Linked DNA regions of Mus musculus: regions 2, 3 and 4 are each reported to be linked to region 1. The links are microRNA targets in miRTarBase. Many come from high-throughput screens and were not tested one by one. Region 1 holds a microRNA gene; each other region holds the end of a gene's coding sequence.
The links. Region 1 holds the annotated microRNA mmu-miR-3090-3p (UCCCAGGUGACACCCUGACUCA, at 4,672-4,693, opposite strand). A microRNA usually pairs through its seed, bases 2 to 8, with sites in the 3' UTR of a target mRNA and lowers its output. Matches are read on the target gene's strand: a 7mer-m8 pairs with bases 2 to 8, a 7mer-A1 pairs with bases 2 to 7 and ends in A, and an 8mer does both.

Region 2: miRTarBase lists Mrpl35 as a target of mmu-miR-3090-3p. Seed matches in the 3' UTR shown: 7mer-m8 at 3,086-3,092.
Region 3: the mRNA of Ldlr is a reported target of mmu-miR-3090-3p. Seed matches in the 3' UTR shown: 7mer-A1 at 6,405-6,411.
Region 4: miRTarBase lists Glrx2 as a target of mmu-miR-3090-3p. Seed matches in the 3' UTR shown: 7mer-A1 at 2,671-2,677.

Annotation. Positions count from the first base shown.
Region 1 is chr2:133,561,195-133,569,452 of GRCm38, reverse strand. Mir3090 (microRNA 3090) reads right to left here and starts at 4,745; the gene lies at 4,659-4,745. Bmp2 (bone morphogenetic protein 2) reads right to left here. Exons shown (of 3, transcript NM_007553.3): 3 at 6,557-8,258. The coding sequence ends at 7,738.
Region 2 is chr6:71,809,785-71,818,042 of GRCm38, reverse strand. Mrpl35 (mitochondrial ribosomal protein L35) reads left to right here. Exons shown (of 4, transcript NM_025430.3): 3 at 294-438; 4 at 1,756-5,046. The coding sequence ends at 1,944. It overlaps Reep1 (receptor accessory protein 1), which reads right to left. Exons shown (of 7, transcript NM_178608.4): 7 at 7,333-8,258. Among named protein-coding and RNA genes, the nearest start is that of Mrpl35, 9.9 kb to the left of the region's middle.
Region 3 is chr9:21,746,577-21,754,834 of GRCm38, reverse strand. Ldlr (low density lipoprotein receptor) reads right to left here. Exons shown (of 18, transcript NM_010700.3): 17 at 7,529-7,686; 18 at 4,916-6,694. The coding sequence ends at 6,659. Among named protein-coding and RNA genes, the nearest start is that of Spc24, 9.6 kb to the left of the region's middle.
Region 4 is chr1:143,746,134-143,754,391 of GRCm38, forward strand. It overlaps Glrx2 (glutaredoxin 2 (thioltransferase)), which reads left to right. Exons shown (of 4, transcript NM_001038592.1): 4 at 375-3,545. The coding sequence ends at 506. It overlaps Ro60 (Ro60, Y RNA binding protein), which reads right to left. Exons shown (of 9, transcript NM_013835.2): 9 at 4,657-8,258. Among named protein-coding and RNA genes, the nearest start is that of Glrx2, 11 kb to the left of the region's middle.

The DNA.
Region 1 (8,258 bases):
ATGCCTTGCATGCCATCTGCCAAGCTGTTAGAATGCACCCACATGTGTTGTAAGGTCATCTAGCAATACCTTTTATGCTCCGTCATCAGGGCACATTCTTAAAAAGCACCTCCTGAACTTGCAAGCATATCAAACACTGGCTGATACAAAGGCCTAAAGAGTTTCCTTCCATCATCTCGGCTTCAGTCTTACTACATGTACTTAAAGTGACTGTGGAGCATGAACGGTACTACTCCTAAGAGAAAAAAAGGGAGTATGGGAGCTCCCTCACGGTCCAATGGGACAGCCAACTAATGACATATTTCTGCAAGGTGTAGTATCTGAAGCTTATGTATTTGTCAAGAATACATTTTCCTTTGGAGCAGCTGTTTCTCGCACAAGGAATCTCCTGATCTTAACTTTTAGATCTTTCTTTTTTTTTCTTTCCCTCCTCTTTTTATTCATCATGAAGATTGTAATTAAGACTAATTAAGACTCACAAAATATCAAAAGTAGGAGCAGCTGTGACAAGGCCTAAAGCATTTTATGGGAAAGATAAGCTACAGGACATACCAACAGGACACAGAGTCAAGTCGGTGGATGAGTTCCTGAGACCAACAAGGCTGGAGAACCAGTCAACTGACATGCTTGGTGTCTGTGCTCTAATTTATGACAAACACAGCCCAATCTGGTGCATGGGTTTTCTTATGTACATAGATTGTTCTTCTAAGAATTAATTTATTTTTTTGGACTCTTTGTATTACTGTAATTCAGTCATGCCAGACATGTTTGCATCTTAAATTTTATCGTGTCCCGTCACAGTTTTCTTTAGATAGAGAACTATTCTTTATCTGAACCTTAGCAAAGAGGAAACTCTTGAAACAAATGTCTGAGACCTTCTCTACACAAGAAGAACAGGTTGTCACCAGCATCGCCAAGGCAGTTCTACAACGTGATACCACTTAGAATGGTTCCAGTCCAGAAATCGGCAATAATTCATGGATACGTAAATACATGTATAATATATTTGAAGTATATGTGCATATATATTTATATTTAAACCACAAAAGTTATTTAGTTTCTATAGTTCTTCCCATTTCCTACTGTCCAGCTACATGGGATCTGACGAACATAGGGAATGCTGGATGTTGGGAGTGTTCATCTAAGACTGGTATTTTTATTTTCATTTATTGCTCCTCTCAGAAGCACTGTGATTTGCTGCCCAGCTCATCCTGGAGCCTCCATGCTTAAAAAGTGATTCTTATTCATACTGATATGCTTTAGAGAACTGCAAGCTCGTTGGAGAAAGTCGGATGGTGAGGTTTCTCTATCAGAGACTAGTTTGTCAAATCTCTCTGTCCAGGCCAGATGGGCTTCAAACGTGTCTCATTTGCAAGATGTTTGTGATGAACCAGCCTCAGTCCTTCACCCCCGCGCCCCTCCCCTCCCCCCTTGATCCCAGTGCCAGGAAATCCTGCCTGTAAATGAAGAATCAGAAAAGTGGTTAAAGTTTTCCATGGATTTGACTACATTCCAGCCCAGGGAACCCCACAAAGAGAGGAGCCAGAGCAGCAGAGACATGTCAGAGGGTAGAGGAGGAAGAAAGATCTCAGCATGGAGCCTGTCAGCTGCCAACTGTGTGCGCATGTGAGCGAACGTGTGAACACAAGCCCAACTTGGCCGATCTATAAAGATCCCGATTTTACAACTCGCTCCTGGAGCACGTTACAGAAATCAGAAAATGACTTTGATTTCAAATTAGGCTTTCACGAAGGTTTTAGAAAACATTTTCAATACCATCTATCAGGCAAAAACTTGGGGTCGCTTCTTCGAGACAGGGCCCTCCACACCCAGGCTTGGTGCTTCTAAACATTGCCTCCAACAGGAATCACTCCCTGACATTGAAACAATTGGAGGAGCTTGGAGCCGGAGCTCAACTTTACTAGTGATTTAAAACATGCCCTTGGAAACCAAGTTAGCTTCCAGGTGGGAAGCAAGTTCCAGCAAATGGGAACAGCAGTTAAGAAAGCTTTCAGACAATCCTGAAGGAGCCAGACTTCAAAACACTCTTCAGGGTGAGGGAGATGGCTCAGTAACTAAATCGCTTTCTGCACAAGAAGAAGCAAGTGAATGAAGCGCTTTAGCACCCACATTAAAACATAGCTGGGTATGGTGGGTAATGTGTCTGGACCCCAGTGCTGGGGGTACACAAGGGGCGGAGACAGGAGGATCCCTGGGGCTCGCTGGCAGACAGCCTAGCTAAACTGATGAGAACCAGGTTCAGTGAGACGCCTTTTCTGAAAAACCAAGGCCCAGAGCTATTGAGAGAAACACTGGATGTTAACCTCTGACCTCCACACGGCTGTGCACACATGTGCACGTGCACCTGAATACACATGTGCAAACACATGATCGCTGTACACACACACACACACACACACACACACACACACACACACACACAATTTCTACCAGTAAGCTATCTACTCAGCAAAAAACAGGAAGAGACAAGATCTTTGAAAGAAACCTGCACCTTCCCCATAAAGTCAGAGATAAAAGAGTTCAGCCACTCAAAATTTGTCGTCTTTAAAAATGCCTTTTGAATCGCTAAATTTTGTCTGCTTGGTTGTCTAGCAACCAAGTGCTGAACAGAAACTCCACCCAAACACAGTGAAGCAGCACATTCAGTTCATCAGGCTATGTGCATGCATGTGCGTGTGTGTGTGTGTGTGTGTGTGTGTGTGTGTGTGTGCATGTAGTGTCATCAACGTCTAAGATAGAAACTTGCTTGCATACAAAGAAGAGAAAGTCTTGATTGTAGATGGTACAATGACATGGGAAGCGAGGAAAAAGCAACAAGAAAATGTGCAATGCGGGATGAGGGTATAGTTTCCACACACTGGGCTAAGGCACGGTTTACACTCTTAAGCAATAAAAACAAACCATTAAGCGAGGCCCAGCCCCGTCAGGAAGTGTAAAACAGTTCTTGAAGCTTTGCAGTCGCTATACAAACGCTTTTCATAAACTCTGCTTCCTGATCTTCATTAAATGTTAACATCAAGTTGCCATGGGGCAATTAGCTTGCCTCCTGAAATCAATAAAAAATCAACAATTTGGAAATAGTTGTACAGTAAAATAGTTCAATAATTATTCTCTCATAGTGTTGTGGCCAAGCGGTTCTAGGGTAAATTCGGTCCAGATGAGTTCCTGCTCCTTATGAGGAGAGCTGTGAGCAGATCGGGGCTTTGCTGAGAGACCTCCTCATCAGAATGGACTGCAACAGTAATGGACTCCCAGCAATGCCTTGGCGAGGGGCCCAGCACACAGGCAAACACAAGCTTTTAAGTGCTGTTAAAGTCAGCGTATGGTGTAGCACCTCAGAGGGTCTCCATTCAGAGTTTAGAGACCTAAACAAAATGATAAATCCATAGGGATTGGCCAAGGGGGTGGGGTGGGGGACGGTTGATGCTCTTGCCTCAGCATTCAGACTCTAGACATGAGCAAACGAAAATTCCTTCAGAGATGTGCATGCATGTGTGTGCATGCGTGCATGTGAACATGTGTGCTTGTTAGCATGTACGTGTGTATGCAAATATGTGTGCTTGTATGTGTGTATGTGCACATGTCTGTTCACCCACAGGGATGTGTGTGTGTGTGTGTGTGTGTGCGTGTGTGTGTGTGTGCATGTGTGTGTGTGTGTGCGTGTGCGTGTGTGTGCGTGTGTGTGTGTGTGTGTGTGTGTGCATGTGTGTGTGTGTGTGTGTCTTACACAACAAGATTGGTTGAGATTAAGAATATATTCATCCTGACATTTCTTCAACAAATATTAAAGTCTGTGTTGCTTCTAAGAGTTTCTGAGAGCCGAGTAAGGTGCTGCCCAAGCTACCCTTGATCCCCACAGGGCATTCTGCTAACAAGTGGCATTCATGCCAAGCAAAGCCAGGAAGTTATTTCTGTGCTGACCCTCTTTGCAGAGGGAAACCCATTTTTTTCCCTAGCTTAAGCCCATTCACATAAGCACTTTATTCCAAGCCAACTGCAAAAAAGATTCGAACTTCCATTAGAACAAACCTCCCATACCAGATTTGGAGTCCTATGCCACCCTCTAGGTTCAATGAACTTATACAGTGTACTGTCTTATAACTTAGAAAAAAGTCAAGCATCATTTTAGTATAAACAAATGCTTCAACCATACGACATCTACCCTCTGCCTTCAAAGAGATCCCTTTAACTCAGGTGCTTGGCACTAACATCACACAGGAGCAGCTCAGCACACTGACTTAAGTGTTCAAGTTTTTTAAAGTACATTTCTAAGGACTTGCACCTGCTCCCTCATACATATAGATGTACTGACACGCATTTGACTAAACTGACTGCAGCGTGCCCAAGCAAGCAAGCAGAGCAGATTTTACAAGATAAGCAACCCAGTGTTTTCATGTCTAAGAGTGGCTAGAACATAAGATTGCCACTCATCTTGTTGGGAAAAAGAATGTCTTTGAAAAAAAAAAAACAAAAAACAAAACTGCAGGGCACTGATTCAGATGCCATGCAACGCAGCTTTGCCTTCTGTTTCTTCTCATTTACACATGGCTTTTACACACGAAGGGGCTGTACTTGAGCCAGCTTCTGTAGCCATGATCGAAAGAACAGTCCACACAACCTTGCTACTCAAACTGCAGTCCTCTGGCACAGTGAGTCAGGGTGTCACCTGGGAGCTCATTAGAAATTCAGGATCTCAGGCCCCACCCAGACCACTGGGACAGGAATCATAGGGTGGCAGGACTCCACCACGTGGGCTGTACACACATCAAGCTTTTTTGCTTTCCTGGAGGCATTCCTGATGACTGAGGTGCCCGCTAAACTCTAACAAGTTTTATTTAGAACTTTGGCCCCTCAAGTTAGTTAGAAGTTCACTTTGAAGTTGGTAGGGCGGGGAGCTGGTGAGAAAATTCTGCCCTAGAGGATGTCATAAGGCTTTAAGATATGGTGGCGGGGTGAAGGAAAGAGGAGATGCAATTTATCCAAGTAGATGTGTGTGCCCTGCCCCCTCAACCCCACCCTACCTGTCCCTTCCCCTGCAAGACATAAAACAGAAAAGGAATAGTGCAGGCTGTTGTGACCTCCTCACATATATGCCGATCTATAACGCCGCCCCCCTCGCCCCCACAATATAACCATTCTTTACTGCAAAGCTCTCTTCCTTTGTCCTTTCAATCAAAAAGTAGGGAGGGGCTCAGCATGTCAGCACCCAGTGAATCAGTATCTTAACAGCAAGGCAAGTGACTAGAAATTTGCTAAGTGATTTGGCTCATTTTCGATAGTACAGATGAGTGTTCTCCATCTTAAAAAAATAGAGAGAACACCTGAACCACTCGGGGTATATACCAATGACATAGCTCCATTTACTGTGACGTCTCTCTCTGAACCTAAATGGAAATCAGAAGTGCGACCATCTACATATGTAACATAATCTTCACATAGCTATGTATAAATTAGAACATGTACACACTATATGCACATACATGTATGTATATACCTATATGTCACATGGGGCCTGCTGTGCTACAAGTAATTTTAGCCAAGAAAATCAAGACCAATGAAGCAGAAAATATGTACTGGATAGACCTGCCAGAAGGTGGGATCCTTATGGAATGATCGCACTCCCATCTGGAGGACTTGGAGATGTAAATATGTGGTTCATTCATTTTATAAGATGTTAAGATTGCAGTTTGTTACAGTGCCCATGGCAAGCAAGAGACATTAGAGAATGACTGAAGGACCAGGAGGACAAGGCTACCCATAGTTGGGTCTAATCGTTTCTACCTGTGCAACAACTAAAGGGATAAGGAACACATCAAAAGCTAACCAGGGTAGTCATTTAAAACAAGATCTTCAGAACCTTAAGGTTTCCGAAGGTAAGTGTGCTTGGGGTCATTGCACGGAGGTCCTTGGGAAGAATTTAATTATAACAGTCTGTCTTGCTGTAAGCACACCGCTTTCCAAGTCAGTTCTAAGGCACGGGTCAGGAGAGGAGGTGAGACCTGGGCTTCAACCATGACGGAGGGCTACAGGACACACACTCCGGAAACTGACCTGAAACCCTGCCAGGAACTAGCACTGGATTCCCCAATCTGCAAACAGCCACAAAGCCCTCCCTCCCTAGGTTTTGCTTCCAACCTGAGCACCAAAGCTCTGCCATCATAGAGGACTCACTTTCCAGAACCTCATCTGACTTCACTCTGTTTGAGCATCTGGCCAATTGGTAGATGTGCTGAGACGCTGATCAGACATTCTTTAATTTTTTTAGGCACTGTGGCCTCTGTTGTATGATATATCATCTCTGGAACTTTACCTTGGGTTCTGCAAACTTTGCTTTGATTTAGGCATTGGCTTTCTCTCACTCCCCCCGCCCCCTTATGAAAACTACTAACTCATTGGTAAGTCCTTTGGTCCAACTGGGGTTTGCTTAGAATTCTCCAACCATTTAAGTCATGTCCCCACCCCAACCTTGTCATCATTCACCCAAGAAATGAAAATGCAAACACAGGTAGACACTGCAAACACAAACAAACCATTTGCTCTCACGGGTTAGGTTTTATAGGATGAAATGCCAGAATTTTGATATTTATTATCTGAAATGGGTTTAACATTTGGAGAAATATGTTCAAACACATATCCCTGGAAAGAAAAGCAAGCTGACAGGTCAGAGAACAGGGTGCAGGCAGGAAACATATGCTCAATTTTGCTGCGTGTCAGGCAAATGTAGAAAATTGGGTGCTTTGGAGAATAGAGAGATTGCTGATAGGGTAAACACAAAATACAAGCCAATTTCTGCTTCTTTATGAGGGCCCACAAGATAATCAATTGTACACATATATGACTACAATGTTAATAAAGAAGAAATATTATATTTTATTTAGTACTTTGGCCAGATCAGCCCCCTGGAAGGGATTATAGGCTTAAGAAAGAACAAGATGCCATCATCACTTCCTGACATAGTCACAGTTTTCCTAATTATTCCCACTGGTCCTGCTTTGTTCTTGCTGCAGGGAGGGTGGCGAGAGCTTTTCTATCAGATCAGTAATGTCTGGTTCTTATCCAAATATTCCCCCTAATAAGAATGAAAGTTCTCACGGATTGGACAACCACTCTGCAACATTCCTGAGAATTGAAGAATATAATCTTGAAAGTCAGCAAAGTAGATTATCCTTTTTTTTTTTTTTTGGACTTGAACTTGTGAACTTTAACAGTAGTGCTGCAAGAAACAGACAGCAAGTGTGCAAGCACTTTGCTCAGCAACCTTCCATGTAGACTTTGCATCTTAAATACACACAACTGAAAAACAACTACAATTCTTTTTGAAAATTATATACAAACCCGATATTTCTTCTGATTACATATAAATACAAATTAACTATCTTTTTTCCCTAAAAAGTGGTTATAATAGTAAATAAATACAAAATAACTCTGACCATTATACTTCATGTGCTGGAGTTGAACCCATATAAAATGTACAACTAAATACATTTTAAATCTTTAAGGAATAATTCTCTGATTAAAATATTTGTTTTCCCAACTTCTTTTCGTAGATATAAATATATTTTCAAAATAGCTGTGTTTTTTTCCATTCCATTCCATAAATAAAGTCTTCATTGGGAAATATTAAAGTGTCAGCTGGTTTTTTTGGGGGGGAGGCAGGGGGAGTAGGGTTTTTTCTGTTTCTAAAATATATATATTTATTTATTTATTCTTGCTGTGCTAACGACACCCGCAGCCCTCCACAACCATGTCCTGATAATTTTTTAGCACAACCTTTTCATTTTCATCTAGGTACAACATGGAGATTGCGCTGAGCTCTGTGGGGACACAGCATGCCTTAGGGATTTTGGAATTCACAGAGTTCACCAGAGTCTGCACTATGGCATGGTTAGTGGAGTTCAGGTGGTCAGCAAGGGGAAAAGGACACTCCCCATGGCAGTAAAAGGCATGATAGCCCGGAGGTGCCACGATCCAGTCATTCCACCCCACATCACTGAAGTCCACATACAAAGGGTGTCTCTTGCAGCTGGACTTGAGGCGCTTCCGCTGTTTGTGTTTGGCTTGACGCTTTTCTCGTTTGTGGAGCGGATGTCCTTTTCCATCATGTCCAAAAGTCACTAGCAATGGCCTTATCTGTGACCAGCTGTGTTCATCTTGGTGCAAAGACCTGCTAATCCTCACATGTCTCTTGGAGACACCTGGGTTCTCCTCTAAATGGGCCACTTCCACCACAAACCCAT
Region 2 (8,258 bases), not on the chromosome of region 1:
ATAAGCTGAAGTCCTCTAGGTAGGCAGATAGATAAGAAACTGTGTGATTAAAATACGGTGGACACATTCTCTCTTAATGGTCAAGTGGGTGGGCTTTATTTTGGGTGTTAGGGAATTGACCCTAAAGTCTTGTATGTGCTAAACACAGGTTCTACCTCTCCCTGTGGGGGGCAGATTTTAGAAGGCTTGAAGTAGGAAGGTTGCCAATCTTCTTGACATTATGTGGTGTGATGAAAGTCAGTTCCTTGCCCTTCGATCAGTCTGTTCACTACTTTTTTAAAACTGTATTTTAGAGTGGCCACATTGGTTCCCAGTGTCCTGAAGCCACCAGTCAGAGCTCTAACATACTGCAGCACACGGAAAGGCAAGAGAAAGACGGTAAAGTCGGTCGTGCATCGCTTCCTCCGACTTCATTCTGGCCTTTGGCTAAGGAGAAAGGTGAGTCTTTGTGCTGCGTGAGCCTAGCCATGGTGTGCACTCATCTTACGGTAGCTCTTCTGTGTCCTGCTGTGTCCTTGTGCAGAGAAAGGGTGTGAGTGTGAATAGAGTAAAGCACTGTTCAAAGTGGCAGGTGCAGTCACTGTGGGAAGGGCTGAGAGGGTTTCCCCTATCTTAGAGAAATCTGTAGATAAAGTGTGTATGTATTAGAACTGAGCTCATAGCCGGCATTGAGAAATGTCAGTGAAGAGCTTTGGCTTGTAAGCTGTTGGCTTGTTCTTAACAAGAGCCTCATTATCTATGCTCAGTCCCACAGATACGATTAGAGCTGCTGCTGACATCAGAGGCATCAGGTCCTCCTGAAGGTAGAGGTGCAGGCAGTTGTGAGCTGTCCAACATGGGTGCTGGTCCTCTGGAAGAGCGTTATGTGCCCTGAGCCATCTCTCAGGCCCTTAAGTTTCTGAGAGGTTTTCTCACTGAATCTGGGGCTCACCAATTTTTCTAGTCAGCCTGACCAGTAAGCTCTGGGATCCATTTGCCTTTCTCCTCACAAGTGGTGGAGTTACAGAAGTCCACGACCATGTCCAGCTTTTACATAGGTTCTGGGTTGCAAACTCAGGTCCTCCTGGTTGCATTACAAGCACTTTGCCCACTGGGCCATCCCCACAGCCCATTTTTGGTTTCGTTTTTTTTCCAGATAGACTCTTGCTCTGCAGTCTGTGTTCATTCATTTATTTCTAATTTTTAAAAGAAAGATTTGTTTTGAGACAAATCTTACTATGTCCAGGCTAGCCTGGAATTTCCTATGTAGACCAGGATGACCCTGAACTAAACAGAGATCAGTCTGCCTGAGATTTATTTTATTTGCAGTTATTTGTATGTGTGGGCCTGTGCCTGTGAGTGGGGTGCCCACGGAGGCCAGAGGCATTGGGTCCTGGGGAGCTAGAATTATGGATAGTTGTAAGCCACCTGTATTGGTGCTGGAATTGAATTCAGGTCCTCTGAAGAGTGGTGCGTGCTTTCATCTGCAGAGCCTGGCTCTCAACTTTCAGTTCTCTTGCCTCAATCTCCTGAGTGCTTGAATTACACATATGTACCCTATGTCTAGCTTGTGATTTTAATTTAAATAATCTTTCTAAAGTGTTAAATTATTAATCCTCTTCTACACATGCTTTTTAACCTGTTACTTATTGCAAAGAGAAACAACCCAATCTCTGTAGGTCTGGCTTTGCTCTTTGGGCCTATATACCATAAATTATGGAGCATCTGCTGCTGCCTTTGCAAGTTTTAAAATGTCTTTGGAACATTATCTCATAGGCTGGCTATAAGAAAAAATTATGGAAAAAGTCAACTGCAAGAAAGAAGCGCTTGAGGGAATTTGTGTTCTGCAGCAAGACCCAGAGTAAACTCCTGGATAAAATGACGACATCTTTCTGGAAGAGGCGCAACTGGTACGCTGGCGATCCTTACCAGATGTACCACGATCGAACAAACCTACGAGTATAGTTCAGAGCTATCATAGTTCCCAGCTATGGAATGTGGGTCTTTGTGTACATAATGCCCTTGCAAAGTGAGTATGCGTTAAACTGTAAACTGTACCAGCTGATCGGCAAGCTTAGATTACCACCATTGTGCATTAAACATTCCCAGAGTTGGTCATAGAACTAAAAGTTAAATTTATTGTGCATTATTTCAAAAAACTGGTAATGGCTTTCCTTATTTCTGGAATCTTGGATGAGGAAAAACACGAAAAGACGCTCAACAGTGGGCCTTTGTGTGGAATTGAGATGGTATCCAGGTTTTTGCACATGCTAAACAGACATCTTACATGCCTATTCCCAATATGACACATGCTGTGTTTAAAAAATAAATACCTAGGAACTCAGGAACCTCCTCACTGTCTCCTACCTGTAACTCTCTGCCCCAGCTTTGGGGAGGGCAGGAATTGGATGAAGCAAGAGATGGTGGGACTTTATGCCTTGGTTCTACTGTGAGAGTGTGTGGTGTGTGTGTGTGTGTGTGTGTCTACTCACCATCACTCTCTTTAGTCTTGGCTTTTGTTTATGTAAAGTTTCTATCTCTCAGACTCCCTTCAGCCTGAACCTTTGGGTTCCCTTTAACATTACAACCCTCAACTCTTGTCATCTCTTCTCTCTTAATTGCCAGGGAACTCTCATTGGGCCATCCTGCCTTTTCCTCGTAAGTCTGAATCAATGCCATCATGCAATGTAGAGCTTATCTGTTTGTGGCTAGGACTCCACCCAGGCTCTCTTAGTTGTATCAGTAGGTTCATATGGAGTAAAAAGGTAGGTGTGAGCTGTTTTCCTTAGAGGTACATAGAGTAGCAGGGCACTTTCATCTTGTGTCCTGGGTTCTTTGTATTTATGACAGTTATTACTAATTTTATTGTAACAGGATACTTTTCATAAAAATAAATCACCTTCCCAAATACCCTTCTTGAAATACATAGCTATATAATAAACTCTTTTGCCCAGTTTTTCTTTTCTACTTTACTTTTTATTTTTTACATATGAGTATTTTGTCTGCATGTGTGTATGTGCCCTTGAAGGCCAGAGGAAAGTTGTTGGGTCTACTGGCATTGGAATTACAGATGGTTGTGAGCCACCATGTTGGTGCTGGGAATTGAACCTGGGCCCTCTACAAGAACAGCCAGTTCTTAAATGCTGAACTGTCTCTCCAGGCCTCTGCCCAATTTTTCAAAGGCACTGAATTTTTAAAAAGTTTATCCACTTAAGATTTCTTATTTTCATTGGTAAAGATCAGCTTTTTTTTTCCAGAATTCTCTAAAACGCAGGGTGGAAACTAAGGGAGAAAGTTGCCTGTCATTTAATGAGACTGATGTCAGCTGTGCTCAGAAGGCAACAGTATCATTCATTTTATCTTTTTGTTTGTTTGTTTGTTTGTTTTTTCAAGACAGGGTTTCTCTGGCTGTCCTGGAACTCTTTGTAGACCAGGCTGGCCTCGAACTCAGAAATCAGCCTGCCTCTGCCTCCTGAGTGCTGGGATTAAAGGCGTGGGCCACCACGCCCAGCTAGTATCATTCATTTTAGAAAAGAGTCTGGCCATTCCATCCTGAATGCACATGACTTTGTCTGATCTCAGAAGCTAAGTAGGGTCAGGTCGGGCCTGTTAGTAGTCAGATGGAGAAAGATGCAAAAGTTACACGTGGTTTACAGAGAGTCAGAATTGATGCTGCAGGCCGAGAGAGTGACTCTCTGCTCTCCCATCAGAACCATCTGGAAGCATTTCCAAACAAAGCAGCCTGCCTCATTGAAAATTCTATTAAGGATGAATGACTGTTTGAAATCCATTGATGATAACATGAAGTCCCCCATTTAGTAGAATAAGGCAATCAGTTGGTGTTTTGATGGCAGGTAGGCCAGGACTTTGAGGACCATTCAGTTTTTGTTTTGTTTTGTTTTGTTTTGCTTTGTTTTGTTTTGTTTTGTTTTTCGAGACAGGGTTTCTCTGTGTAGCCCTGGCTGTCCTGGAACTCACTTTGTAGACCAGGCTGGCTTCGAACTCAGAAATCCGCCTGCCTCTGCCTCCCGAGTGCTGGGATTAAAGGCGTGTGCCACCACTGCCCAGCTTAGGTTTGTTTTTTTTTTAATTTTTTTTTAATTTATCCATTTGAAGCCAGTTCTTCATTAAATGGAGAGGGATGTAGAATGTCGTAAAACCCCATATGTGTGTATGTGTGTATGTGTGGGGGCAGGTGATAGAGAGCAGGCGTGTGACTTGAGCACCTCATACACCAATGGCTCTGCCCCGGTGGCTCGTGCTGTGCTCACCCCTGAGGCGGCAGAAGCTGAGTGCTGTGAGGCTTTCGAGGTTCCTCGCCTGCACAGTTCCTGCTTCCCGCACATCTGTGGCACTGTGCTGAAGCTAAGGAGGGAGACACTGCACAGCCTTAGACTTTTCTAGAGTCGACATGGATGGTTCAGATCTCTGTTACATGGCCTCAGTGCCTTGGCTTCCCCTGTAGCCAAGGACAGGCTAGGCAGAGGACAGCGGCCACAGGCTGAAGTAGAAGGGCTGCAGGCACACCTCGGATGGAAAGGGAACTTCTTCATACATACAGCTTTTGTATGTGGGTAGGGGAGCCTTTCATCAAAGCCAAGTTTTTAGTTTGACAACAAAGCAGTTTGCTTTAGAGCCTGCCTAAATGATGTTCAAGTGTATGCATAACTGTTTATTTACATGTAATTTATTGAACACTTGTCATATTTAAGCAAATCTGCAAAACTCTGCTGCACCTCATGCCAACCTTATACAATCTTATACACGAGCTATCATTTATCCCTGATATAAATTGAAGGCACTAAAGCTTATAGAAGCTGAAATAAATTACTCTAAAATATAGCTAATGCATCCCAGATCCCCTGTCTAACTCTTTGGAATCTTGTGTACTTCCTTTGATTTTCTAACAACATAGGATACTCATATCTTGATCAACAAATGACTGTGATCTGACACTAGTAGTAAATACTCTACCCGTTCAAGTCTGAGTTGTGTGACTTTGCTCTCTACCTGTCAACTCTGTTGGTGCATAACCCTGGCTTAGTAAATGAGTAATGAATGAATGGATTTCTAGTCTTTCTTCCCATCTCTTCTTCCTGTTTTCTGCCCTCTGAATCTGCTGCTTTAGTTTCTAGTCTGTGTACTGTAAAAACAAGAGAACCGACCACACTTGAAGGTCTTTGTGACCTCCCAGTGAGGCTAGAGTGAGCCTGCTGCCTTACTGTTGGTTGGTTGGTTTTTGAGATAGAGTCTCAATTAGCCCCAGCTGGCCTCAAATTGATGTGTAACTGAGGATGACCTTGAATTTCTGATCCTCTTGTCCCTACCTCTGGATGCTGGGATGGATGGATGAAAGTCATGTTATATCACATCCTGTTTATGCAGTGCTGGAGACAGAACCCAGTACCTTGTGCATTCTCTATGACACTATGATAGCGATGGCCCTGGTGCCTGGTGCTCATAGTTTCAAGGCAAGGGATGCAGAAGTGCTATGGGCATTTTTACCATCCACAGTGGCTCTGCACATACACAAGCCTGTTCTAACCTGCATAGGCAATCCCCCATCTGCAAGTGAAGAAAAACTCAGGAAGAAAACTGCTACCCAGTTCTGCCCATACAAATAAAACTGCCCACCAGTGAACTGCTCATATCTTCACAGGCTCCCAGTTTCCACTGACCTCTAAAACAGTAAAATAGTGAGACTTTGAGGTTAATATTTGTCTCGTCAGCTGAGTCTGTGAGACATGTATCAGTGATGTTTTTCTTCCGGGCCATCCTATGTAGTAGACATGGGCCAAGTTTCCAGGCCAGAGAGTATAAGCATTTGGTTTCTAATCCTTGTTACCTCCCACGTTTAAAATCTTTAACTCATTTATACTTAGAATTTTTACTTTGGTTTTGTATTTTTGAGATGGAGTCTCATATGTTCCAGGCCTGCCTTGTTCTCTATATAGCTGAAGTTCCCTTGAGGTTCTAATCCCCCTGAATGCTAGCATTGCAGATTGTGTTCCACCATATCTGGTTTATAAGGAACTAGGGGTTGAACCCAGAGCAGTATGCATATTAGTGAAGCGCTCAGCTAACTGAGCTCTATCCCTAGACTCCTTCTACATTATATATATTACATTTTATTTATTTAATTTGGGGGTCGGGGTGGGGGGAGATGTGTGCCACAGTGTGCACATGGAGATGAGAAGACAGTTTGCAAGAATGTCTTCTTTCCTTTGGCCATGGGAGTCCAAGGGTTTAAACTTAAGTCATCAGGCTTGTTAGCAAGTACTTTGTCTTAAGCTTTCTTACCAGTCCTACCCACATTTTAAAAAAGTATTTTGGGATTGCTGAGATGGTTCCATGGTTAAGAGTGCTAAGAGGAACCCACATCTGGTGGTTTATAACCACCTGTAATTCCTGCTTCAGTGAATCTGATGCCCTCTTCTGTAAGCATGAGTGATACCTGCACTCATGCATACAGGCACACACATCCACATAATTTACTGAGAGCCAGGCCAATCCAAGGCTTTCTCAGAGGCCCTGATGAAAAGACAAAAGGAACCTAGTTCTCTGTCCTTGCCAAGGGCAGACTTGGTCTGGTCTAGAGCTAGGGTCAAGGCCTCGAAGGAGTTAAGGATTTGGTTCCTGGGAACTTTGCTTTTTCCCTTAAAAAGACAAGTTATCAGTCTCAAAACTGATGTGTGCTGTGTCTGTGATGCACTTGAGATACCCTGTGTTACCCTTGTACAACATTGCTTGATCAGCTTCCTGATGACTTGATGTCACTGTATGGGCTTTCTGCTGACTCTTCCTCCTCCTTAAACTATATATAAGAAGTTGTACTTCATTGGGTAGGGTTGTGCACGCCTTTAATTCCAGCATTCAGGAAGCAGAGGCAGAGGGATCTCTGAGTTCGAGGCCAGCCTGGTCTACAAAGCAAGTTCCAGGATAGCCAGAACTCTACAGAGAAACCCTGTCTTCAAAACAAAACAAAACAAAATTAAAAAAAAGATGCTGTACTTCTTGACAAACTTGTCTGGAATAAGACACAGCTTTCCTATCTCATATATCTTTTCATCTCCTGGTAGTCCTCCTTAGGACCATTGAGGAATGACTTACTGATCTAGGTCAATAATTATTTAATTGTTTAAAAACTACCAAAATAATAATTTTTTTTTCTAGATAGGGTTTCTCTGTGTAGCCCTGGCTGTCCTAGAGCTCACTCTGTGAGCTGACCTTGAACTCAGAGATCTGCCTGCCTCTGCCTCCCAAGTGCTGGGATTAAAGGCATGTGCCACCACTGCCTGGCAATAAATCTTTTTTAAAAAGTATTTCTTTTCTCATTAGCCCAACATTACACTATTTTTTTAAAAGAAAAATGTTAAGACTTTATTCAAGATGTTTATCAGGCATTATAACAAAACAGCAGAGCTTCAGCCTTTGGAATACTGCAATTTACATCCTGTAGATACACAGTCCAGTATACTATTAATTGTACTCATTTATAGAGAGATTTCAGAAAGAAACTAGAGGAAATGCGCACAGTCACAATCTGGAACATGAGCTCTTCGAGCGTCCACTGTCAGAGGATGAAGCACATCTTCCACCACGTCTAATACTTCAAATACTGTGCAAGGTGAAGAACTGGGATGGCTACGTGATGGTTGTGGTTGATAAGCACTTAATACAAACACATGGACAGTTTACCACAGAGAACATACATATCAAAGGCCAGCAAAGTGAGCAAGCTATTCACACAAACTCAGGAGGCATTATGACTAAATCTCCAGTTGATGAGCAGGAGACTGCACCTCACCTCTGCAGAAATGGAGAGTAACTCAAAGCCGCGACAAGTAGACCTTCGAGCTAGCGATTTGTAAACAGCCTGTGTCTTAAGTCAGCGAACTAGAAACATTCATTTATCCTGCGTAGACAGAGCACCGCACTTCTACATACAAGGTCATTCACATCATATGTCAGTCTACATACAAATACACAGCTTGTCAGAAAAGTAAACACAGTTCTCAAGAAGTAAGACAGCTGTGTTTGGCTGTACAGTGAGTGTCTTTAAGAGAGGAAACAACTTAGTCAACACTTGAAGGAAAAGGAGTTACATTTACAATAAGACAACGATTTAGATACCTTTATATTTTAAATCTTGAGCGAGAAGTAATACAGCATGTCTGAGGAGTGCTTCAAACTGGGTTTTGGCATGGCTGAGTACAAACTCAAGAGCCTCGATGTGTTATGACTTCCTGTTGTAAAACGATGAAAATACACTAGGACTT
Region 3 (8,258 bases), not on the chromosome of region 1:
TAATACAGCTAACGTCTGCAGGACTAGCATTAGTCCACATTGCCTGCGGAGTCACTGCTGTGGACTTGTGTTTTCATACCAGTGTGAGACGGTGCAGGATAGAGAACTCACGGTTGTACATGCTGACCTGCAGACCTGGTGCCTGGTGGAGAACGTAGCCATGGAGTTCAAGGCTGCCAACATAGCCAAGCTGGAGGGCTAGGGAGATGGCTCATGGGTAAGGTTCTTGCCATCAAGTCTGATGGCCTGAGGCCTCACAGGATCCAAGGGCCCGTATTTGTCTTCACCTAAATAGCACCTTCTGCTCTTCCAAGGGATCTGGGTTCGATTCCCACCATCCACAGAGTTAAATGTCTTTAGCTGTAGTTCAGGAGATTGGAGCCTTCTGACTTCATCATGTGCCAGGCACACACAGTGTGCAGACACATGTAAGCGAACCACTCATAAAATACATAAATCTTACCAAAAAACCCAGCAGAGCAGCAGGAACCAACAACGAGGCTTTGCACAAGAAGGGCAAGTGCCCAGCTGCTCAAACTCCTGACCCTCTGGTGGCAGGGGAGCCTCACTCCCTTCCCTGGAGGAGCACTGGGGGCTGACTCCAAGGTCCAGTGAGTGAGGACTGTGGCCCAGCACCCTGGAGAGCCCCCAGCTCTGCATGCCTAGGCTCTGAGTCACTGCCCAGCACTGGCTGGCTGCCTGGGACATCTTGGGGCCAGGCCACAGCCTCCTGCCCAAATTCCTACCCACAGCCTGACTTGCTCCTTCTAAGAGAACCAGCCAGAAGGAGGAGCAGTCCTGAATCTAATTTACAGATGAGGTAAACTGAGGGACGGATCCATCTGGCCATTTCCCTTAAGTCCCAAGACATTATATGAAGTCCAGGGGTTGACCCATTCACCTGTGTTCTACTGCCACCAATCCCTAAGGCACATAGTGTCTTCCTCTGAAGTGTCACCAGGACTAGGTGGTTTTTTAGGACAGTGGTAAGAGCACCCAGCAGGTGGCCAGCCCCTTTCTCCAGTCTCTCCCTCTTTCTGTTGGGGTTAGCTGCAGTTAAGAGCTGTTTCCTTAAGCAGGAAAGATGCATAGACCTAGGAAATGAGCAGGAGGAGCCAGGCAGCCAGATTTGAAGGCTGTCTCCTCATGACACAAGGGCTGGGCTGGAGGCTGGAGAGATGGCTCAGTGGTTAAGAGCACTGACTGCTCTTCCAGAGGTCCTGAGTTCAAATCGCAACAACCACATGGTGGCTCACAACCATCTGTCATGGGATCTGATGCCCTCTTCTGGTGTGGCTGAAGACAGCTACAGTGTACTCATATAAGTAAAATAAGTAAATCTTTAAAAAAAAAAAAAAAGCTGGGCTGGTGTGGGGGACAGGATCGGTTGTCTGTTATGGGCATGACCACACTTGGACTCTACCTGTGACCTCTGTTGTTGGGGCCACTCTCACCTGGATCTCGGGACCTCCTAATAGGTCCTTTTTACTGTGTGTCTGTATGGAGAGTCACAGTATGTAGGGAGGTAAGTGCAGGCCCCGGGGTGCAGGCATGCTTGTGAGAGGTAAGGGATCAGTTCTCTCACCTTTACAAGGATTACGACCAGATCAAACTCGATCACCAGGCTTGGAAGACAAGCGCCCTTACCTACCCTTTGAGCCACAAGCACATTCAGGCTCCTGCTGGCTGAATGGTTCTGTGGCAGCCATACTTGTAAGTGGCTGGAGCTATGGAAGTATGCCTGGCTGCGCGCATCATCTGGAAATGGAAACTAAACCCAGGCTGGAGATTTGTCTCAGGTTTCACACCTGGTAGGTGTTTGAGCTCCGGGGTGGGGGTGGGGGTGGGGGGACTCTCAATCTCCTGCTAGGAAGGAGGTCAGCACACCTGGCAATAAGGAAGTGACAGGGGATAAAATGCTGGGGGGGGGGGGGGAGGCTGGGAGGGTAGAGATGGTGACACAGAATAATGCTAAGCTGGGAGCAAGCTAAGGACTGCCACCAGGCAACCGCAGAAAGCATCTTGATCAATCTGGGCCTGCAGTCCACAGTATAGGGGGAAGATTTTCCAGACAGCCAGTGGCTCTGCTGAGTAAGAGACTGATCTAATTAAGCTCCAAGCTTCTCCCACACACTCCCTACAAGGCCTGGCCAAAGGGCGGGACAAGGGAAGGACAGAGCTCCTCTAGGGCAGGAAGCAGATTCGAGTAGGGGTGTCAGACAAGACACAGGAAATCTAGGGAGACTTTCCCCAGGCAGGCTGAGTAGGAGTGATATTCCTGAGAACTTAATCTCAGAAAACCACAGTGGGAGCTGGAGCCGCAGCGGGCGCTGGGGAATGCTGGCTGCCTAGCAGAGCACCCTTCCCACTGTCTCCCCCGTGCCATTCCCGCTGGGGCTCCAAGCTGGCTCACCACACACAGCTGTGGGCTCAGACACTGTGAGTTGGAAGGGACCACAGCCTGGGGGGCTGGTGGTCAGCGGGGAACAGCAGTTCGTGTGTCAGAAATCAGCTGCTGCCTGCCATTCTTGTCCTGGGCAGAACTGAATCCACAGAGACGAGGCAGGCAAGACCACCATCACTTGCCCACCCTGGGTCAGATAGGTACTGCACACACGGGTACACATCCAGGTCTTTCACTGATTGCTATTCTGAGCCCAGAGAACTGCAGGCAAAGAAGACGGGAGAGCAGAAAAGGGGACCCTGACCCAAGTACCTCCCATTCCCCTCGCTAGGTAGGCACTGCACAGTGAGTTAAACACCAGCCCTTCAGTGCCTGTTGGTAAGTAAAGTGTTTTTAAGACAGAGTCATGGGCCCCAGGTTGGTCTGAAACTCACTATGTAGGGGAGGATGACCTTGAACTCCTGATCTTCCTGCCTCCACCTCCCCAGGGGTAGGGTGACAGGTACGGGTGAGGACACTTGGCTTTGCAGGGCCTTGAAAATAAAAGCTGAAGCCCAGGATCAGAAATGCTCACCAATGGGTGGTGGCACTCCACTTTAATCCCACACCCTGGAGGCAGAGGCAGGCAGATCTCCAGTTCGTGGCCAGCCTGGTCTACAGAGGGAGTTCTACAACAGCCAGAACCACACAGAGAAACCCTTGTCTTGAGAAGAAGAAAGTCAGTCCATCACCTTCCATGCATGATGTCCCGTGGGAGCCCCACACCTGCTCTCCAGTCTGTTAACTCCCAGGACGTGGAAGCTCCACCATGCTGTTAGCCACACATGCCAGCACCATGACTCAGGGAGGCAGTCCTTGAAGGCCTGTGAAGCCACGGGCTTTCCAGGCCACTTGCTTCTCCACTTTCTCTCTGAGGCAGTTTGGCTCTTGCCCCAAACAAAGGGCAGAAGGAAGGACGGATGTGCCACCCCGTGGATTCAGAGGAGATGGCAGGCCTGGGTAGAGGTCCCACCAGTCTGGCAGAAGGTGGAATTACTGGGCTAACGAGGCTCTGAAGTGCACAGGGTCACACAGAAAACTACAGCAGAGCCAGGGTCGGAGCCAGGTTGTTTGTCTAGTGTATCTCCATTCCTGTTCTGTTTCCCCAAGACTCTTTCCCTGAATTTTTCTTTTCTTTTTTCCCTTCAGGGGGAGGGGAGGGAGTTCGAGACAGGGTTTTCTCTATGTAGCCCTGGCTGTCCTGGAACTCACTCTGTAGACCAGGCTGGCCTCGAACTCAGAAATCCGCCTACCTCTGCCTCCCAAGTACTGGGATTAAAGGCGTGAGCCACCACACCTGGCTAAGATTTATTTATTATATGGAAGTACATTGTAGTTGTCTTCAGACACACCAGAACAGGGTGTCAAATCTCATTCCTGATGGTTGTAAAACCCTGTCTCGAAAAACCATAAATAAATAAATAAATAAATAAATAAATCTTAAAAAAAAAAAAAAGACTTGCTCTTTGGTTAGTGTGCTCACCTTCATCATCCCTCGTGGATGTGTGAGACAGAGAATAATGCCTCTGTCTTAAAAAATACCCCTCGTGGATGTGTGAGACAGAGAGAATAATGCCTCTGTCCTAAAAAAGACGGCCGGTGAGAGACACAGCTCAACACTAACACTGGGAAGGCTGAGGCAGGTGAGTTTAGTCTGGGTTTTCAAGTTTATAATGAGGTTGGTTGGATGTTATTCTATGGCAGGCTCACTGATGTCCCAGGAGGGGGTCAGGGAAGTCGCTGTGCAGACAGAAAGGCAGCGGCTGGGACAGAGGAAGAAAGTATACAAGCAGAGGAGACAGAACCAAAATGTCTAGATTACCTAATAGAGCCTTGGGGAGAGGAAGCCCCGCCCCTGGGCTGCAGGGGCTGGAAAGTTCAGGGTAGACTGTGGGGTGTACCTACCTATGTGCCCAGCAACAGGTAGGGACTGCAGGATACTGGGAGAACTTGTAGGCCAGGTCTGCTTTGGTATTTAAAATAGGCACTTCAGCTACTCTTCCTGGCCCTGCAACCCAACACAGGCTACATTGTGAGATCCTGGCTCCAAACTACCAAAACCACGCAACTCAAACAGAAGGCACAGCTAGCGAAATGGTGGACTCAGCAGCTAAGGACGCTCACTTTGTCACCAGGGGCACGGCGCACACTCGAGCACCAGCTTAGCAAGATGGGAGTTCTCTGAACCTTGTAACCCCTGACTCTGAGCAGAGCAGAGCCAGGCTGGGCCTTGTTGGCATTAGACATAGCTGAGGGGGCCCCAGGTTCAGGGAAGAACTTTGCCTCAAAGGAACAATTTGGAGTTTCAGGACACCCACACGGAGAGAGGTGCGTGACCCCCTCCCCCCCACACACACACAAGCCTGTTCCTAAGCCTGGGTGAATACAGAGAAGTGGCTTCACAAAGCTATCCTCCAAGCCTCCCGATGCCTCCTCTGCACCCCACACCTCACACACATAAGGATGACAAAGTTTCCAAAAAAGAATTTAATCCATCACAGTATGATATTTTCAGCCTATAAAAACATCTGAACAAGGGTTTCAAAGCAGTTCCCACCCACTCAAAGCAACGCACAGGACAGGCCTGAGATCAGCCCATTCAAATCATCTTTGTATACAGAGCATCCCAGAGTATCACCCCAGCCTAACCTGGAGAAATTGCAGAGAGGTGCAGCAATCAGGGTTTGCAAAAATAAATAGATTTAATACATATGTGTGATATCCTTGAATATACAGAATGAAAACCGAGCCAGGTGCCATCGGCACATTACAGAGCTCTTTACAAGTGTCCCAGTGGGCTGGGCAGTGTGCCCTTGTGTCTTGAGTAGTGGACAGGTGGATCTACCCAGGAATCCAAGTAAGGCCACCACTGTCTTCTTAGGTTACCCATGTGACAAATCTGTGGCAATTTCTAAGTATTCTTCCAAGTCCCACCAAATAGTCTGGGATTTCTTTTGGTTTTTAGATATATAAGGTCTCACTATGTAGGCTTGGACCTCAGACATGTGCCCACCTCTTCCTCTTGAGCATAGGATTAAAGCCAAGTGCCACCACACCTGAGAAACCATGCGTGTATCCCTCCCCTCGCCCCATCTCTCCCCTTCAGCAGGCTGGATGTCTCTGTGAGAGAGGATGACGTTACCAGAGGAGCTAAACAACTCTGCTGTGCAGAGCCAGAAACCACCAAACAAACAAACAAACAAACAAACAAACAGACTAACTAAACACCAGACAGAGGCCCTGAGTTCCCCCCAGTACTGAAGAAGGCAATGGATGCTTGGAGCCTGGCAATTATCTTCTGTGGTCAATGATTCGGGGCCACTTCCGGCCTGAGGTCCCATCCAATGCACCAGGGTCAGTGCAACCTAGGAGTACAAATGTGGACCACGTGGGTGCCCAGCACAGAACGGGAAAAGTGCGCAGAGAGAAGTGCAAGCCTCACTCGGAGACTCGGGGGCTGGGCACAGGACAGGGGTCCTGCCGGCCACCCCTGAGCAGCAGGACACTGAGCAGGCCAGGACTCCTGAGCAAGGCAACCAGTTGTCTCAGGCACTTGATAAATATTAAGGGAGAATGGCGACTTGGGCTTGTCCCTCCAGGAACGGGTGACGTTTTGGCAAAGGCATGAGCGGGTATCCATCACTGGCAGCTGCCGGCCTCAAGATCCAGCAAGATCAGTACCGAATGTCACGAGTCACTTTCCTGGCTTCTGATGGGGGCGGCAGAGTCAGGCAGGAAGGCTCTGGGATGAAGGTCAATGCAGGAAGTCCTGAGGTTAGGGACTGGCTATGGTACCCAGGACCCGGTCAGTAGTACCTGCTGTCTCATGTCCAGCAGGCTTCTCTCTGCCTGGGTGGGTCTCTTCCTCCTCCGTGTTAGTGTTGAAAAGAGTAGAATTCAGAAGCTTCTGGGACAGCCTATTTGGCTTCCAAGGAAATGAAGATGGGAGAAAAAAAAAAATTCCCAGGCAGAATTCGAATTTCAAGCACAGCCAGTAGCCTTTTCTGTCCCCAGACAATAAATATATAAAACAGAACCTGGGGCAGACAGGCAGCTGAGCTTGGCCCCCAGCCCAGCTTTGCTCTTATCTTGCTTTGAGCAACACAGAGCCCAGGGAGGTGGCAGGACCAGTGCTGGATGGGGAGGTCTGGAGAGAGTGTCTTTTCTGCCTAAGCTTGGCAATGGATCCCGGAAAGAGACGGCTCTCCCGGCTGCTCATGCCACATCGTCCTCCAGGCTGACCATCTGTCTCTGTCAGCAAAGCGGAAACACAGGAAACAATCAGACTAACAGGACTATACACAAGCATGGCAGGAATCCACCTCTCTCTCCTGCTCGTGTCCCTCACCTTCTGTCCCTGCGCAGTCACCAGAGGTGGCCAGAACACCTAAGACTGGGTCAACTAAGGCTCACAATGCTCTCCTCTCACTTCCAGGCTCGGATCTTACCACAGATATATCCCGTGTTTCTTTCTGATTTTTTAGAAAACCTCTCTCTCTCTTTCTCTCTCTCTCTCTTTCCTTCCCTCCCTCCCTCCCTCCCTCCCTCCCTCTCTCTCTCTCCCCCCACCCTTGGGAGGGGATGTGTGTGTATGTGTGTGTGTGTGTGTTCTCTGCATTAAAGTTACACATGTGCCTGATGCCTGTGAAGGCCAGAAGGTATCAGATCCTCTGGAACTGGAGTTATAGATAATTGTGAGCCACCATGTGGGAGATGGGAATTGAACCCAGGTCCTCTGGAAGAACAGCCAGTACTCTTAACCACAGAGCCATCTCTCCAGTCTTCCCTTATGCTTCTTAAGTACACTGTGCCCAATCTTATCACAATTTGAGGTCTTTGCAATGAACTGATTCCTCTATTCCCAACCCCCACTCAGAGGAGACCTCCTCCCCGGTCCACATACAGCTGGCTCTAGCATGTTCCTGCTACTGTGAGGCACACCCTAAGCCCTCACTGGGGGCCTAGGCAGGTTCTACCACTGAGCTGTGCATGCCCCTGGTTTGGGCTTCCTCTCCTTCCACTCCACCTAACTTCTGTCCTTCACCTCATTTGATGTCTCATCTCTCCCACAAAGGGCACACTCACTGAGGGGTAGGTATAGCCATCCTGGCTTCGGCAAATGTGGAGCTCGTCCTCTGTGGTCTTCTGGTAGACTGGGTTGTCAAAGTTTATGCTGTTGATGTTCTTCAGCCGCCAGTTCCTCCACAGCAGGACGGCCCCAAGGACAAGGAGGGCAACCAGTGCTGTGGGGAGAGGGGCTTGGTCAGGGGCTCTCAGGAGACCCCGTGCCAGTGAAGCTACCGGCATGTCCATCCTGGCCCTTTCATGTGACAGCGATATGTTTTGAATGTAAAATTATACTCACCTATCATACAAAGAAAAAAACCAAGGGAGTGTGTGTTGGTATAGCATTCACTGGGAGTCTAACACTTCAGGGGAATGAGGCAGGAGGATGCTGACTTCTGAGCCAGCCTGGGCCCCATAGCCTGACCCTGGTTCTAACTTTTGAGATTCTCTGTCAACTTTGCTCTTTTTAATTAATTAATTTATTTATTGAGACAAGGTCTCACTGTGTAGTTCTGGCTGTCCTGAAACTCACTCTGTAGACCAGACTGGCCTCAAACTCCTGTCTCTGCTTCCTGGATGCTAAGATTCAAGGTATGAACCACCATGATTTTTTCACACAGGATCACAATTATTTTTTGAGAAAGAAATCCACTGTCTACCCCACTCCCTTGCCGGTCTAAAAGTCTGTATGTAGACCAGGCTGGCCCTGAGAAAACTCAAGTTGTGTTTCATCACCACCACCAGGGAC
Region 4 (8,258 bases), not on the chromosome of region 1:
GGCGGGGAAGGAGGCTTTAGAGAAAGTAGGGAAGCTCAAAGGATCAGAAAAAATGTACTTAGGTTCTGAGGAGCATCCCAAAGAAAGAGGCAGAGAGAAGGAAAAGTTGATCCTTTCTGACTCAGGCCTCTGAAGGGCAGGCAGACCCCGAGGAACCTCCTGGAGGCTGGTCGGGCTCACCTTATTTTGTTTTTTAAAATTCGTGTGGTCTGTAGGAGCCTGCAGGGGCTTTAGAATTAGATTGCGTTAGATTTGTCTCCTACCTCTTTTCCTGTTGCTATATTCGGCAAGTTACTTTTCCTCACTTCCCTCCAAAACTGGACCAGTTCTGACACCGATGGTTAGGCCTTATTTATCTTTTCCTTCTTCAACAGGTTCCCAGGATATTTGTCAATGGACGATTTATTGGAGGCGCAGCGGACACTCACAGGCTTCACAAAGAAGGGAAATTGCTGCCTCTGGTTCATCAGTGTTATTTAAAAAAAAAACAAGAGGAAAGACATTGAATGATGTGGATAGTCGCCATACCAGTAAATGCTAGTTAGTGCAGTCGTACCTTTGACTTGAGGCTGTTTTCAGTGTGTGGATTGCCTTCATAAAGATGATTCAGAATAATGAACAATAAATTGCCCTGGACCCTTCATCTCCCGATTGGCCAGTTTTTGAGCATGAGATGGTATAAAAAAACTAAAGGAGGTGGAGTTACATCAAAAGTAAAGAATGTTTATTAAGAATTTAAGAATCTTACAGCAAAGAGGGAGTACGCACTTAAACTCTTGCTCCCCATGGCATTCAGGAATTAACTTCTCACGTTCACTAGCTGTCAGGGCTGAGGACTGACATGTGGCTTCCTTAAAATTTAATGTGGTACAGATGTGCAGTGGGTTGGGATACCATATCATGACAACCCTTTATGTTCTAGACCACCAAACATACTAAATATGTAGAATTCGATGAAGTTTCTAGTTGGGGCATCAAGCTGCTAATGACTTCATGGTCAGAAAGCAAAAGGTTTCAATAGAGTGAGAGTGGGCTTTTCAAACAGTTCAGAAATGTTATTTAGTTCTGTTGCCAGTTGGACATTCTACCTTTCAGAATGTGTATCAGCTACTGGAATTTTTTTTTTTTTTCCTTTTGGAGACAGGGTCACTCTGTAGCTCAGAATGGCCACAAACGCAAAAGTCAGTCCTCCTACCTGTTTCCAGGCTTGGATTATATGCTGAGCTACCACACCCAGCTTGAGAATGCTTAAGAGAAACAGGAATTAGAGTTTAGACTAACGGTCCTTGTTATAGTCCGAACGTGCCCCACCACAGACATCATGTGTTGGAAACACATGACATAACCTGATATGGTACGCGAGGTGAGGCCTTTACAAAGTACTTAATCCTGAGGGCAGATGGGTCCGTGCTCTATTAGAGTGGTTCTTGATAAAAGGATGAGTTTGTCCCCTTACCTCTCCCGTCTTTGCTCTTCCTCTTCTTCCTCTGCAGTGTCCTGATACAGCAAGGAAATCCTCACTAGATAACCTCACCTTCCCGACCGATGACCTAGAGAAAGTCCATCTCTTCTTCATAAAGTACTCAGTCTCAGGTAGTCTGTCTGAGTCCCACAGATGGAGCGTCCCTAAAATCACTTCTGTTATCTTACTATTCTCTAACTAGGAAGACACTGTTCAAATTGACTTCATTTCAGATAAACTTAGCAAACAGAATTAACCTTTAAGAAGTAATATTTAAAAGAACTGAAAACATTTCCAATGCTTTGCTAGTCTGGTCATGGTTTCCGCCTCTGGTCAAGAATATTTTAAGTGCTTAAGAAATGATGCATTTCCTAGCAGATTCTCAGAGTCACGTTGGAAATGTTATCAAATGCTGAGCCTTTCTCAGGTAGGAAGAACATGGACTTCCCAGAGTGAGTGCTTCAGCTTTCTGGTCAAGATAGACTAGGGACTCATGCAGAGTTTGGAGGGAGACAGTGGCTTGCTGTCAGAGATGTTTCCTACGTGGACTTCAACTGCATTTTGGATAACTTGACATAGAAGTTAAGACAGCTCTCCTGATTTAAGCTGTCATGTTGGTAGGAAAGGAACATGGTGTATTTTTATTCCTTTATTTTACACTATATCATGAGAAATTATATAATTTTACTATGCTCTAAAACTCACATTATGTATGGGAAAGGTGTCACTGTTTCTGTTGTCACTAGTAATCTTATTAGGATGTAAGGTCAAAGGCAGGTTACTTAAATGCACAGCTACACCAACCACGTAATAATATGGCCTTGGCTTTGAGGAGCTTTTTTTGTGGTATTCAGCCTCAGACCCAGGGCTTGAATAGCAGGCAGGTGTGCAGGTGCCACTGACTTATAAAACTTTTTCTTTTTTTTTTTTTTTACATTAGACTTTTTTAATTAGATATTTTCTTTATTTACATTTCAAATGTTATCCCCTTTCCTAGTTTCCCCTCTGAAAATTCCGTATCCCCTCCCATTCCCCCCAACTCACCCACTCCCATTCCTGGCCCTGGCATTCCCCTATACCGGGGCATAGAACCTTCACAGGACCAAGGGCCTCTCCTCCCATTGATGACCAACTAGGCCATCCTCTGCTACATACGAAGCTCGAGCCATGAGTCCCACCATGTGTTTTTTTTGGTTGGTGGTTTAGTCCCTGGGAGCTCTGGGGGTACTGGTTTGTTCATATTTTTGTTCCTTCTATGGGGCTTGCAAACTCCTTCAGCTCCTTGGGTCCTTTCTCTAGCTACTTCATTGGGGACCCTGTGCTCTGTCCAATGGATGGCTATGAGCATCCACTTCTGTATTTGTCAGGCACTGGCAGAGCCTGTCAGGAGACAGCTATATCAGGCTCCTGTCAGCATGCTCTTGTTGGCATCTGCAATAGTGTCGGGTTTGGTGATTGTTAATGGGATGGATCTCCAGGTGGGGCAGTCTCTGGATGGTCATTTGTTCAGTTTCTGCTCCATGCTTTATCTCTGTAACTCCTTCCATGGGTATTTTGTTTTCCCTTCTAAGAAGGATCAAAGTATCCACACTTTGGTGTTCCTTCTTCTTGAGTTTCATGTGTTTTGTGAATTGTATCTTGGGTATTCTGAGCTTCTGGGCTAATATCCACTGGGCTAATATACCACTTAGCTATACAACTAATTCTTAAGAATGTTTTATCAGTTCTTCCTAGGCTTGTGGGAAACAAGAGGATGTGTGGTACATAATTCTTGGTTAGGGTCAGATGTTAAAATAACCCAGCTCTTAAAAAATCCTTATCGTCAGAAGGCTCAAGAATATAGAAGGTAACAGGGTATGTTAATTTTCAATTATAAGTTTATATAAGAAATAAACTCTTAAAGCCGGGCATGGTGGCGCACGCCTTTAATCCCAGCACTTGTGAGGCAGAGGCGGGCGGATTTCTGAGTTTGAGGCCAGCCTGGTCTACAGAGTGAGTTCCAGGACAGCCAGGGCTACACAGAGAAACCCTGTCTCAAAAAAAAAAAAAAAAAAAGAAATAAACTCTTCCAATGATTGCTTAATTGTGTGCTGAATTTTATTCTCAGTGACTTAAACAAAAAGATTACTTCTTGGAACCTAGCACTGCATCAAAAGGAATGAATTTGCAAACCAGGACTACTCACTGACAGGAAGAGTTGAAAGTGAAGGGCGCTGACCTCACTTAGTCTTTGTAGTGGTTGACATGTCTTTGCAAAAAGACCCAAGACTGTAACAGAAGACTTAGCCTCTGCGAACATTTACAATAATGGAGTCTAGATAGCTGTATGGGTAGAAGTGCTTGCCAAGCAAGCCCATGATCTAAGCTCAGTCTCTGGGACCCGCAGTGGAGAGCAATGATTCCTGAAAGTCCTTCTTGACTTGTCCATGTGAGGGCTCACTCTCATAGGCCCTGTCCATATGTATGTGTGCACAAATAACAAAGAAATGCTAGATAAAACTCAGGAACACACACGCACAAGATACAACTTGTGTTAGTGCTGGAAGGAGGACTGCATGAGGCATGCATGCATATGAAGGCCAGAATTGCTTTGTGGAGTCAGTTTTCTCCACCTTAGTATGGGTTCATTTTGGTGATGGAGCTTCAGTTAATAGGCTTGTACAACCACTGTCCTTTACACACTGTGCTATCGCTTAGCTTAAAGGATACAATATTTATTTTTTAGTTTTGGGGGTTATGGTACTTAGCATATGTTAAAGCAAAACCCAGTTTCAGAAGGTTAATGCATTTGTGCCAAGCCTAAAGACCTGTATCCGATGCCTGGACCCCACATAACGGTGGAAGGAAAGAACCAACAGCTTGTGTTGTAACATGCATTCCCCCGCCTCCCACATATACTCAAACACAACACCAAAGATAAAAACATTTGTATTTTGATTAAAATCAATTTTCTTCATCCTGTGATGGTACTCAACTGGAAAAGAGTCCTCAACTACATATACCACACATACACACACACACACACACAGACACACACACACAGAGACATCAAAAAGATAATATTAATTATGGAAAGATTTTTTTTTTATCTTTTGAGTTGTAACCGACTGCTTCAGGGGTTTACATATAAGGCATATTATAACCTTAAAATTCATGTTTTAAAAAATGATTAAAAAATGATTAAAAGACAGTTATTTGATATGCATACAATTTATTTGGTACACCTATCGATTTCTACAATAAACTGGTGACAAACAGTTTGTGTAGTGCCCACTCCACATCTGGAATGACTTACAAGTTAAGCATCCCCAATTTGGAAATATAAAATTTTAGAAAGCTCCAGAACTGGAAACTTGAGAGTGTTAACATAATGCCCGTGGAAAGTTCCATAGACCAATTGCAAAGTCACAGCCAAAGCAAGTCCATTAAAACATGATTTTCTGTCACATGACACATACAAGGCTCATACAGCAAATCCCAGGTATTCCATTATACATCTGCAGATGATTCCAAAATTGGAAAAAAGAATCTTAAAATACTTGAGGCTCCAAGCATTTCAGGTAAGAGACAATCAACTTGTATGTAATAGGTTATTTTGCAAGGTTACAAAAATCAAGATTTCTCAGTATTGGTGAAAACTTTTATCATGAAGTAGAAGTAATAACTGAAGCATTCATCCACTCCTCATTAGAAAACACCAATGTCACATTGTTACACATTATTTACATTGCAAACTTGGAAGACTTGACAATCAATAATCACAAGTACTAGGAAAGGCCTATAAGCCTTCCCCAGGCTCCGTTCTTGGAAACAAGTTAGTTATACATCAAGCATAATAGATCTTTAAGCACCAGCGTGACAATTTTAAAGCATTCTTTCGGTTTTGTAAGATTTTTCTGCTTTGAACGGCAAAGCAAATGCAAAATGAGAATGCAATGAAACAAGTCACTGGTCTGATATTTTTATTGCAAGAGTCTCAAGGTTTTAATACTATCTTCAATTCTCTAAATGACTTTGCTCATAGGTTTGAACCAAAACATTTGCCTTTTGCCTCAAAAATTTCCCTTAAAAAGCAGTTCTTTTTGGAGCTATACAACTGAACTTTTCATCCAGTGTTAAATATGCAACATGGTCCTTGGAGGTCATATTATGGCCAGGAAGTCCAGCTTCTGGGTAACTGGTTATACAAAACAATACAAAATCTTAAGCAACCATAAAATATACTGATGTTGCAGCCATGTACTTATTACACATCAGCATAGCCAGATTATTCTTTTCTTATTTCAAATTATTAATGTGCAATCAGGTATAATACCTAACACTTAAATTCATTATGTAGAATTAAAAGCTCTAGAAGACCCTGTAAGCTCTACTCTTCAGATCATTAGCACACTCTTAAGGCATTACTTATTTAACAGACCCTAAAGAAATTAGTATGTCTGGAAAAGAGAGCTTGTCATATGTTAAGGCAGTCAAAAGAGTCCTTTTTCCCCACTTTAAGGCTCTTAATATAACTATAATTTATTTTACGCAGACATAATTCTGGATACCTGAAAGATCCATCAATTGGCCAATTATAGAAATAAATGTCATTGTAATAAAACAAATAGTTTAGAAGCAGATTGTAATACTTTTCTTCCAATTCTTTCAAATATAACTCCATTCATCCCATTCCTTTGGAGAATTCATTATTAAATTTGCAATAAGAAATTGTAACTTAAATAATAACAAAAGCTATTTCACCAACCATACCAAATATATATTCTATTATTTAGAACAGTGCAACAAGAGCAGCTTTCTTCATTAGTATTCATTCACTATCTTTAAGTCTAATTTGGTCATAATGGGGCTGGAGTTTACACTTCAAACAAAGCCTGAGAAATCATTTGGATACAGTTTCAATGTAATGATTTCACTGATATAATTTAGCAGTTACGCATAGTCAACAATATTAACCCTACTTTTAATAATACAAATATACAGTAAAGTGAAACCAGCAGAAATGAAATTAATTTAGTTTCTTTTTTTTTTTAATCCAGATTCTGCTAACTTATACAAGGTACAGAAGTTCAAACATTTTAAAATGAAAGTTCACCTGTGTTCACAAAGTTCTGATGATTAAAGGCAGGGATAAAGTAGAAAGGCAAACATATCCCTGAAGGATATGAAACAGCTTTTGTATATCTTCATTATATTTACAAATGCTGAGTGGAAATAATCACAATTCTAGGAATAGAATCTCATTGATTTTCCCTTTTTTTCTAATATATCTTGTTACTTTTAGGGTTTAGGAAAACTGTGTCATCTGTTATGTTATTCAAATAGCATTCTTAGTTACATTATTAGTTTTCTATATGAAAATATTTTCAAATCAACTTTAAATTTCATAGTGATTTTTTTCAAAAGAGTAAATAGTTACCAGTAAGATAGTGAATGTCAACGTAAGTCATTATAAGGCTTTTTGTAAGTTCAGTGTACATGTATGTGTGCATGCATGGACAGACACTCAGTTGAAAGACTTTGTAAACTAGGAGTGTAATTATAGAACTGAGAGGATATATGTGTCACTTTCTGAAATTGCGGTCAATTAGATTGCATATATAGTATAACAGTTCTCTTTTCAGTGTTTATCAGTGATTATACAGATTCTGGTCTTATTGAATGGCTATAACATTTCTGGAATATCTACAACATGACTTGATTTGGGCAAAGAACATATCAATCCGGATATTACTTCAGTAATTTGGAAAACATTTTTAAAAATGAATTATTTATTATTATTTTTTTTTATGTACATTGGTGTTTTGCTTGCATGTATGTCTCTGTGATGGTGTAGGATTCCCAGAACTGGAGTTACAGAGAGTTGTGAGCTGCCATGTGGGTGCTGGGAATTGAACCTGGGCCCTCAGGGCTTTTAACCAGTGAGCCATCTCTCCAACTCTGAAAAATATACTCTTAAATTTATATAAAACAAAAAAACAACCTGCAGTAGATTCGCCCCAAACCTGACTGTGGATGATTTTCTGGTCCTGCAATTTATTACCCAACTGGATCAAACAGGAATAAAAGGCAAAAATGGGAGAAGACTTTGCAAAAGAGAAAAATGGGCGAGAAGTAATCTTCCATGGAAGAAGAGATGATGGAGCAGGTATCAAGAGAACACAATAACTTCTGAGTTAAACACCGGCTTGTCTCACAAAGAACCTGTCATCTTTGCTGATCCTTCCTTCTGGCTGTGTGACATTTCTCTAAGATGACAACTTGTACCCTAACAAAACCAATGGAATCCAAGACGATTTTGCATCTTGAGTTACTTTGACTACAAGCACACCACACAACAACACAGACCAAATCTGTAGCAGCACTTCTTTTCACTTTTACACGCCCATGCACGCCCATGCACGCCATGGCACAGAGGACAACCGGCAGGAACTGGTTTCTCCTCCTACCTTGTGGGGTCCAGGGACTGGGAACCATTCATCAAACTTGGTGGTGAGTGTCTTTACCCACGATGACTATCTTGCTTGCCTTGGGACAAAATGTTTAGGTCACAGGAAAATAACTCAAAGAATTTACAATGATTTAGCTTTCATTTCCTGCTTAGATGTACACTTCCTGTGCTTCTAAAGATCATTAGATTCTTACATTTACATTGGTATAATTTTTCTTGTCGAAGTCTAGGAAAGTGAGAAGCAACCTGTCAGTTTGTCTGCTGTAGACTTATTGTTATTCAAATAAAGTAATATGTAAGGAAGTAATAGATAAGCTAGTAATAGTAAGAGTAATAGCATGGTCC